2 linked regions of the Arabidopsis thaliana genome follow. The protein of the gene in region 2 interacts with the protein of the main gene of each other region in a pairwise test. Each region holds a gene or a part of one and is shown on either strand. Other genes may lie near its edges.

Region 1 (3,476 bases), on a different chromosome or scaffold from region 2:
GGCTTATGAGAAGGCTGGCATTGCCAAGGATATGGCCTATGATAAGGCGGGCAATGCCAAGGACATGGCCTATGATAAGGTGGGATCTGCTTATGGCAGTGCGCAGAAGGCAAAGGATTCTGGTTATGAGAAAGCTGGTGAGGCCAAAGACTACGCCTACAAGAAGGCTGGCAATGCAAAAGACATAGCTTACGAAAAGGCCCAAGATGCAAAAGACTTTGCATATGACAAGGCGGGTTACGGATACGACAAGGCCGGTGATGTGATTAGGATGGCAACGGATAAGAGCGGTGAAGCCTATGAAGGAGCCAAAGAAAAGTCAAAGAGTGCCAAAGACACGGCAGGAGAAGCAATGGATGATTCTATTGACTACATGAAAGACAAATCACACAATGCCAAAGATGGAGCAACTAGAGGATTTGAAGAAGCCATGGAAAAAGTCGGCGAAAAGTACGGTGTAGCCAAAGAATCCACAAAATATGCTTATGAAACCGCAAAGAAAAAGGCTTCTCAAGTTGCGGGAGAAATAAGAGACCGTTATGCTGAGCTCTAAAATCAATTTGTTATACAATAAACACAAAGTCTTTAAGTTAAAGCAATGTTGAACAAAGAGAAGTAAAAATAGTATATATATATATATAGAAATCTCTTACAAATCCTTCTTCTTTGCTGCTTGTTTATTGTTGTGCATCCAAACTTTAAACACTTGTCTTTTAACTTTAATCTCACGACAAAACCGATTCACTTCATCATCTTCTAGTTTTGTCATTCTCCAACCAATCTTCTCAGCAAACTCCATCATCTTCTCCTTCTGTTCTTCATTAAACTTTGTCCTAAACCGTTTCTTGGGTTGATAATGATGAAACTGATCCACTCCATAACCACTAAAAGATTGATGAAACTTGTTTAGATCCTCCGTCGATGACTCCGCCGCACAACCACCACCACCACCAAAACTCATCATTATCGGAGACACGTGGCGGCTTCCGAGTGGTCTCTGTGAATGGCCAAAGCTATTGAAATTGACAACAAACAAACCATCGATCTCTTTTCTATGGAAGCTCCGGTGGCAATCACAAGCTGCACAAAGAAGAGACTCCACCGTGCCTTCTTCCCCGGAAGACATAAACTCGCCGCAACCGTCGACAACGTGTCCACCGGAGCTCGCCGCGTGATTCTTTTGGCATTCTCTATACCTTGCCTTCCCCGGAGAAGTAGTTTGAGGCCTAGCGTATGATCTTGGAGCATGAGATATAGAAATTGGGTTAGTATCAAGATCCGGATCCGGATCCGGGTCCGACCCGTTTCTTTTGGTGGTGGGTTTCTCTTTGTTGGCGGTTTGGGAGTAAGTGTACGGAGGAAGACGATGATGATCTAGAGCTGATGATTTTCTTCTTGTCATCTCCATTTTCTCATCTTTCTTCTCTCTAACTTCCATCTTTTCTGATCTTGAAGCTTCTGAATAAAGAAAACCCTAATATATAACTTTTCTCTTAAACAAACATTAAAACTTTCTTAGTAATCTCTCTCCAAAACCCTAAGCTATTTTGATTAAAGAAATCATCATAGCTTTAGCTTCTCATAAACCTATAGAGAAAATGAAGATGATAAATATCTCTTCCAAAGTTGAAACCTTTTTAAAAATTTTGACTTTGACTTTTGTATTAGTGATAGCCCACCAAAACCTACTAGACTAATCTCAAGTCTACAAGCAACTAAATTAAAGGGGAAAACTTATCTAACCCCATTTAAGAAGAGATCAAGAAAAGAAAATAAAGTTTAGGTCGTTACTAATGGAGAAAGAGAAAAGAGGAGAGAAGAAGACACTATTGGTCCTTCTAGAGAGAGAATTAGAGAATCGTGTTTCCTATTGCCCATCAATTTCCGAGAGAGAAAAAAAATCTAATGAAGGAGCCAAGTGGGTTTGGTCTGTGCCAATAATAATAATAACACAGTCCACTAAGAAACAAGAGATGGAGAGAGAAAGTAAGATGTGGACTTGTAGCAGACAGTGCCACGTTGTTTCTCTATCATACAGTGTCCGCACATTGGTCGCAATACATCTTTCTTTTATTGGTTTTTAATGTTGAGTAATGATAAAATTATCTTGTGTTAATTAAGTCGAATGTCAACAATTAGTATAGTTGATGAGATTAGTGTCTGTGGCTTAGCGTAAAATTAGCGATGTAAGTAGGTTTAGTACGATCAGTGCAACATATTATGGTGCATGCATTAAATATTGTTTGTAAAATAAAATGAAAGATTGAATACCTTATGAACATTTACTTTGTAAAATAAATAAGATAACCAAAATATTGTTTGTAAAATAAGCGAAAATCGAATTGGTCGAAATATTTGTAATATATGGTATGGTCTCTTATCTACTTTGATCTGATTTTTAAAATTCAGACAACCAAAATAAGATGATTTGGGCAGAATTTTTTCTCAACTCTTTTATTTTGCGCTAATTAGAGTAACCAATCACATTCTTAATGTTTTTTTCCGTACACACCCTTAATGTTTAAAGTTATGAAAACATACAATAAATAAAAAAAATGGAGTAATCGACAGTGTTTTGACCGGATTTGTGTTTCATAATGCAATCCTTACACAATTCTCATTGGAGAGCTTTATTTCATTTTATTTTTTTGGGAAAAACTGGAGAGCTTTTACCGGACTTTTAATATATAAAAACTTATGAAAAAAATTCTTAATAGGCTTTTCTTCCACTTGTCAATTTATATTTAATATTAAATTTTTCATTTTAGTGTAAGTTACATTAAAATAACAATATTTATTGTTAAGATATTCAAAATAAGTATCTAATGGATGAGAATTATGGTTTAGAAGAATAAATATAAAATCAAAACAAAAAAAAAGAACAGAAAGTGGACGAATGATGTTCTACTTGACATATAAAACTAAAACTAAATCTTCAAACCAAGATATATATATATATATATATATATATATATATATATATATATATACTTTTAGTTACGGTTGATTTCTCCAAAATGGAGCCAAAAGATCAGTAGACCATGATAGAAGAACAAAAAAAGGATTTTAGTGCTGGATAATGATTATGATTCGTTGATGACATACAGGATTATTATCATTTGTTTAGTTAGTTGAACAATTATATTTAAATTGAATGGTCAGTCTAGATACATGTAACTATATGCATTTCTCATGTGCGACATATCTCATCCCATATGCTGTTCCTCGCGGCCACACGTTCGGGGAAATCTAACTTGATTTTTTTTACAATAAACAATACTAGTACTTCGTGAAGAAAAAGAATTACTAACATTTTGAGATTCTTAATTTCTAATAATGCCTTTTTTAGAAGAAAAAAAAATCAAAGTTTAGGAGAGAGGAAAATAATAATATTCTAAAGTTTACAACTATCATCTAAGAAACTAGTATATATCATTCTATCATTGTACTTTTTTAAATATAACATTTATCATTAT
Region 2 (6,270 bases):
TATCTAACTAACTATGGTAGGTCAGTCATAGTCAAGTGACGAAAGAGGAAAGTAAACTCCTGTAATATATTAAATTGAAAATAAAAGAAAAATAACGAATGTGAAATTAGAGATGACCTAAGCGAATTCAAAGTTAGCAAATTTAGAGTCGAATAGCGAAGAAAAAGCTTACTGTGTAGCCATGGCGGAGACCAAAGTAACTGGAGAAGGAAGAAGAGAGAGAGAAATGGAAGAAGGAATAAAAGAGAGAATTTTTAGAAGAAAGAAAAAAGACAAAATAGAAAAGCGTTGACAGGCTAAAAGAGCGAGACGGACAAATGAAAGTGGTTACTGGTTACTATTAGTACCAACGCTGGATTTTTAGCTTACGTGTCTATTTCACCTCTTTGATATTTTCTTTTTTTCCGTAGCAAATTTTAATTATTTTTAAATTATATAACCATTATTAATGATAATATGGTAGCTTAAAGTATTAATTAAATAATATAATTTTTATATAATATTAAAAAGTTCTCAGTAATACTTAAATATATATATATTAGAAAGTTATTTAATGTCTAAATTTCAGATTTTTAGAAGAATTTAGCCAAATTAAATCAAATATTAAAAGATTTTGCTGTTTAAAAAGGAATTAAATCAAAAAATATTAAATGAATTAAAAACAATTATCTTCCACTCCACATAAAAAAAAAGATATGTGAGTAGAAAAGAAAAAAAATATTAAAAGATAAGATGCAAACCCTGCATTTGTAACTCCATAACTAAATCTAAAAGCAAGTGACTCAGAGCACAACTCTCGTACAATTTGCCCTACAGTTTTATTTATATTTGGTGGCAAATGTCAGCTCTGTTTTGATGTGAAAGCCATCAACATCATGTAATTGATTAGCATATTACATATAGAATATGAGATACCCACATATATATAGAAAAAATGACGGTAAAGATTAAAAAAAAAAGTATACTTGATTTGTCATAATAAGAATAAGCATGTATCTCATATGTACAAAAATAGATTTAATGTTATTTATTTTAATATTCTTGTATTTTTTGTTTTATTTGAACTTATAATAAAAAAAAAACTGTAGATATTAATAGTTATGTAAAAATCATAAAAATAGATGTAAAAATCATATTAAAAGTTATGATAAATTTAGTTTACTACATAACTCTTTTGAAAAATGTGGAAAAATTATAGTAAACTGTATGAAAAGAAGATTATCATACAGTTAAAATTAAAATCTTTTAGAACATGTGTAGTGGTGGTTTCTAACCAAAGTTTTTAATTTACTAAAGTAATAATAATAAAAAAAATATTTAATTTGAAGAGTTTTTTAAAATAGTTTTTTCAAATCTTTTAAATTAAAAACTTTCTCATATTTTCTTAGAAATTGTTTTAATTAAAAAAATATTGTTTATTATTTTATTATTATTAATGTAGGCGAGAGATTTTGGTAAAAAATCACAATGCTGATGCTTTTAAAATAATCAATTTTTCTAAGAATACATAAATCAGCAATGCTTCTCACACGCCAAACGTAAATATAGACGCGATTATGAAAAAAAATCGCGTCGAAAACAAACGTCATTATGTCATTACACGTGTTACCAATCAAAAAGCCTTTATGTTTAATTAGTAAAGGCTAGTAAGAGATTTACAACAAATGAAAAAAATAAAAATAAAAACATAATCCAAGATCCCTAAAAATTCCCAAAAAGAACCCTAGATTTTCTCCTCTCACGCTCCTTGGTTCCTCACTCGCTTTTGCTTCCCCACTCGCCTGCTTCGTGTTCTTCTTTGCTTTGCTCTTTTCACGTCAGAATTTTGCCTTCCCTCCCTTTGTCTCTCTCTGGGTGGCCGAGAAAATACAGTAAAAAGCCCTCACCAATCCAAAAGTTTGACATTTCCTGAATTTTGTAGTCTCTTCATTTGAATTCTCAGGTTTTCTCTTAAGATACATTAAAGTCTCTGTCTTTTATGCTGATACTAATGAAAGTTCAGTTCTTTCACTGAAATTTTAGAACCAGAACTTTTCTACTACTAGAAGTATGTTGTCTCTGACTCTCTTAGTTTGAGTTCTCAGGTCTCCTTCTCTTATTTGTGTGAAATTTTACTCTTTTTTGGCTTTAGAAACAGAACTTTTCTACTATTAGAAGTTATGTTGTTGAAAGTTCTTCACTTTCATTTGATTCCATTGATTTCATATTGCTTTGTGTGTTTCAAGTTTGATGTTTTTAGGTAGAAGATGTCGCGCTGGTTCTTATGAAGTTTGGTTGTGACATTTTTCAGGTGCTAAGGTGGATTATCTAGTAGAAAGATTTCAGTTTCCAATTTCATGGAAGCCCATAGTGGGGTAGTTGCTTTTGAGTGTGTTAGTGAATCCATATGTGGCTAAGGTTAGGATGGATTTGCAAGAGAATCTGGTTAGTGATGCAGGGGATGACCATATGGTTGACATTGTAGTTGAACCGCATAGTAACAGAGATATAGGAATTGTTGATGAGTTCAATATAGGTGGAGATGTTGGATTTAGTGGTGATCTGGATCTTGAGCCACGAAATGGTATAGACTTTGATACCCATGAGGCAGCGTATATCTTTTATCAGGAATATGCAAAATCTATGGGTTTTACTACGTCGATTAAAAACAGTAGACGTTCCAAGAAAACTAAAGACTTCATTGATGCTAAGTTTGCTTGTTCCAGATATGGTGTGACTCCTGAGTCTGAGAGTAGTGGTAGTAGTAGTCGAAGGTCAACTGTGAAAAAAACAGATTGCAAGGCTAGTATGCATGTGAAGAGAAGACCAGATGGGAAATGGATCATTCATGAGTTTGTAAAGGATCACAATCACGAACTTTTACCTGCCCTTGCTTATCATTTCCGGATTCAGAGGAATGTCAAGTTAGCTGAGAAGAATAATATCGACATTCTGCATGCGGTTAGTGAACGGACCAAAAAAATGTATGTTGAAATGTCGAGACAATCTGGCGGATATAAGAATATCGGGTCTCTTCTTCAGACCGATGTCAGCAGTCAGGTTGATAAGGGTAGGTATCTAGCTTTGGAAGAAGGAGATTCTCAAGTACTGCTTGAGTACTTCAAGCGTATCAAGAAAGAAAACCCTAAATTCTTTTATGCTATAGACCTGAACGAGGACCAACGTTTAAGAAATCTGTTTTGGGCTGATGCCAAGAGCAGAGATGACTATTTGAGTTTCAATGATGTTGTATCCTTTGATACTACTTATGTCAAGTTTAACGATAAGTTGCCACTAGCTTTATTTATTGGGGTGAACCATCACTCCCAACCTATGTTACTAGGCTGTGCATTGGTTGCTGATGAGTCTATGGAGACTTTTGTGTGGCTGATAAAAACATGGCTACGAGCAATGGGTGGTCGAGCTCCTAAAGTTATACTCACTGACCAAGATAAATTCTTGATGTCTGCTGTTTCAGAGCTCCTACCAAACACTCGTCATTGCTTTGCGTTATGGCATGTTTTAGAAAAGATTCCTGAATATTTCTCACATGTGATGAAACGGCACGAGAATTTCTTACTGAAATTCAACAAATGCATTTTCAGATCTTGGACAGATGATGAGTTTGATATGAGGTGGTGGAAAATGGTCAGCCAGTTTGGACTTGAGAATGATGAATGGCTGCTATGGTTGCATGAACATCGCCAAAAGTGGGTGCCCACATTTATGAGCGATGTGTTTCTGGCAGGCATGTCGACATCTCAACGTTCAGAAAGTGTGAACTCTTTCTTCGATAAGTACATCCATAAGAAAATCACGCTGAAAGAGTTCTTGAGGCAATACGGTGTGATTCTGCAGAATAGGTACGAAGAGGAATCTGTTGCAGATTTCGATACTTGCCACAAGCAACCTGCATTGAAGTCCCCCTCGCCCTGGGAGAAGCAAATGGCAACAACTTACACCCACACAATATTTAAGAAATTTCAAGTCGAGGTCTTGGGGGTTGTCGCTTGCCATCCTAGAAAGGAAAAAGAAGATGAAAATATGGCGACGTTTAGAGTTCAAGACTGTGAAAAAGACGATGACTTTCTTGTAACGTGGAGCAAAACTAAGTCAGAACTTTGCTGCTTCTGTCGTATGTTTGAATACAAAGGGTTTCTTTGTCGGCATGCTTTGATGATTCTGCAGATGTGTGGTTTCGCCAGCATCCCGCCTCAGTATATATTGAAAAGGTGGACAAAAGATGCTAAGAGTGGAGTATTAGCTGGTGAAGGAGCAGACCAGATACAGACCCGAGTTCAGCGCTATAACGATTTGTGTAGTCGAGCCACTGAATTGAGTGAGGAAGGTTGTGTGTCAGAAGAAAACTACAACATCGCATTGCGCACACTAGTCGAGACCCTGAAAAATTGTGTTGATATGAATAATGCTAGAAACAACATCACTGAGTCTAATAGCCAGCTTAATAATGGTACTCACGAAGAAGAAAACCAGGTAATGGCTGGGGTAAAAGCAACAAAAAAGAAGACTGTATATAGGAAAAGAAAGGTATGCTTTTACTGAAGCTTCTCGCCAATCTAAACCTACGTACATTTTCTTAGCTTCAAAGGTTAAAAAGAAGATACTCAAATTGATCTTATGCAGGGACAACAAGAGGCTAGCCAAATGCTTGAATCTCAACAGAGCTTGCAACCAATGGTTTGTGCTTTGATTTGATCTTCTCTAATTAGTTTGATCATTGTAACTGCACATTGCTTTATGAGATTAAGAGTAGGATGTCTTGGATATATGGCCTTATAGTTTTAACATTTTGTGCAGGAAACTATAAGTTCAGAGGCGATGGACATGAATGGTTACTATGGTCCTCAACAGAACGTTCAAGGACTGGTATGCTATGTTAGTTGATTAATACAAACCTGGTTAAGCCATTCGACATCTATTATAAACCCTAATACTAAACCTGTTTAAACTGTGGATATAGTTAAATTTAATGGAGCCACCTCATGAAGGCTACTATGTAGATCAACGAACCATCCAAGGCCTGGTAGGTTACATATAGTTTAAATGCTTGAATCTCCCAAATCTGTGCTAGAGTATAAGTCAACGACATGAATTTTGGTTCTTTTGACTCTTCAGGGACAACTGAATTCGATAGCACCGGCGCAGGATAGCTTCTTCACGAATCAGCAAGCCATGTCTGGGATGGTGGTACATTATAAAATCCTTCAAACTGATTTTAAAAACTGTGTTATGAATGATCGTGTTGTTAACATCTTTTGTTTATTGTCCGGTCCAGGGTCAAATCGATTTCAGACCTCCTCCCAATTTCACTTACACTTTACAGGTCTCAGCTGCCTGGATAAAGTCTTTACTTTAGTATCATTTTGTACTCGAACCACACGTGTTGATATCGTTAAATCTTTTCGTTATTCCAGGAAGAGCATTTGAGTTCTGCCCAATTACCTGGTAGTTCATCAAGGCAGCTATAGTAGCAACACGTTTTGATTACTTTGGAGAGAAGTTTTGTCTCAGGAAACATTTGCAAGAAGCTGTTCCAAACATGAGAAAAACACAAGATCTTTCATGGAGCTGAGTTGCAATGACAAGATGTAATCTTTTCTTAAATTGGTTTCTGTATATTATGGGATTGCCTTATGATGTATTAATGTGGGATGAAATATTGTGTTATCTGATTGAATGTCTTGAGATTTAATAGATGCACTTGTAACAACATCTTTATCTAAACACATAGAAATCTATCCTCTGTGTATTAGTCAAACAAGTAATTTTGAGATCACATTAAATCAAAATTGTTAAAACAGGTTTCAACTTATTTAGTAGAAACAAAAAGTTATTTTTAGATTAAATGTGGTTAATTTGGTTAAATACACATTCCCTGGTCGTTGTCGTATGTAGGTGTGTCCCTTTTGACAAAACAAACAAACAGAAAAGGTTTCTTTATTCAGACAACATCAAAACTGGGGAAGAACCAAAACTAATAGAGTTGGTCAAAAGAAACATTTGCAAAAAAAAAAAAAGAGAGGCAAAGATCTCGAGAGATTTCAATTTTCAATGGAGAAAGTGAATCAAACCTTCTTCTTATCTCATGGATCTCCAACTTTGAGCATAGATGATTCCTTGGAAGCGAGACAATTCTTCAAATCATGGACTCAAAAAGTTCTTCCTCAAAAACCCAAATCGATTTTAGTCATCTCTGCTCATTGGGACACCAAATTCCCATCTGTCAACACTGTTCTTCGCAATAACACGATCCACGATTTCTCTGGCTTC

Evidence for each region. Proteins that work in one complex are often made in the same cells at the same time.
Region 1: the proteins of FAR1 (region 2) and HB24 interact in a two-hybrid assay, tested with the Arabidopsis thaliana proteins (one large-scale study listed by BioGRID).

The regions. Positions count from the first base shown.
Region 1 is NC_003071.7:7,970,473-7,973,948, forward strand, and holds HB24 (homeobox protein 24), read right to left. Parts: upstream 1,610-3,476; 5' UTR 1,439-1,609; coding exon 650-1,438; 3' UTR 554-649; downstream 1-553. Other genes in the region: AT2G18340 (late embryogenesis abundant domain-containing protein / LEA domain-containing protein), read left to right, coding at 1-553. UniProt on the Arabidopsis thaliana protein: Putative transcription factor.
Region 2 is NC_003075.7:8,612,403-8,618,672, forward strand, and holds FAR1 (FRS (FAR1 Related Sequences) transcription factor family), read left to right. Parts: upstream 1-1,657; 5' UTR 1,658-1,871; exon of another isoform or gene 1,872-2,290; 5' UTR 2,291-2,403; coding exon 2,404-4,527; intron 4,528-4,623; coding exon 4,624-4,677; intron 4,678-4,797; coding exon 4,798-4,866; intron 4,867-4,960; coding exon 4,961-5,023; intron 5,024-5,115; coding exon 5,116-5,187; intron 5,188-5,275; coding exon 5,276-5,323; intron 5,324-5,414; coding exon 5,415-5,468; 3' UTR 5,469-5,768; downstream 5,769-6,270. Other genes in the region: catalytic LigB subunit of aromatic ring-opening dioxygenase family, read left to right, coding at 6,052-6,270. UniProt on the Arabidopsis thaliana protein: Transcription activator that recognizes and binds to the DNA consensus sequence 5'-CACGCGC-3'. Activates the expression of FHY1 and FHL involved in light responses. Positive regulator of chlorophyll biosynthesis via the activation of HEMB1 gene expression.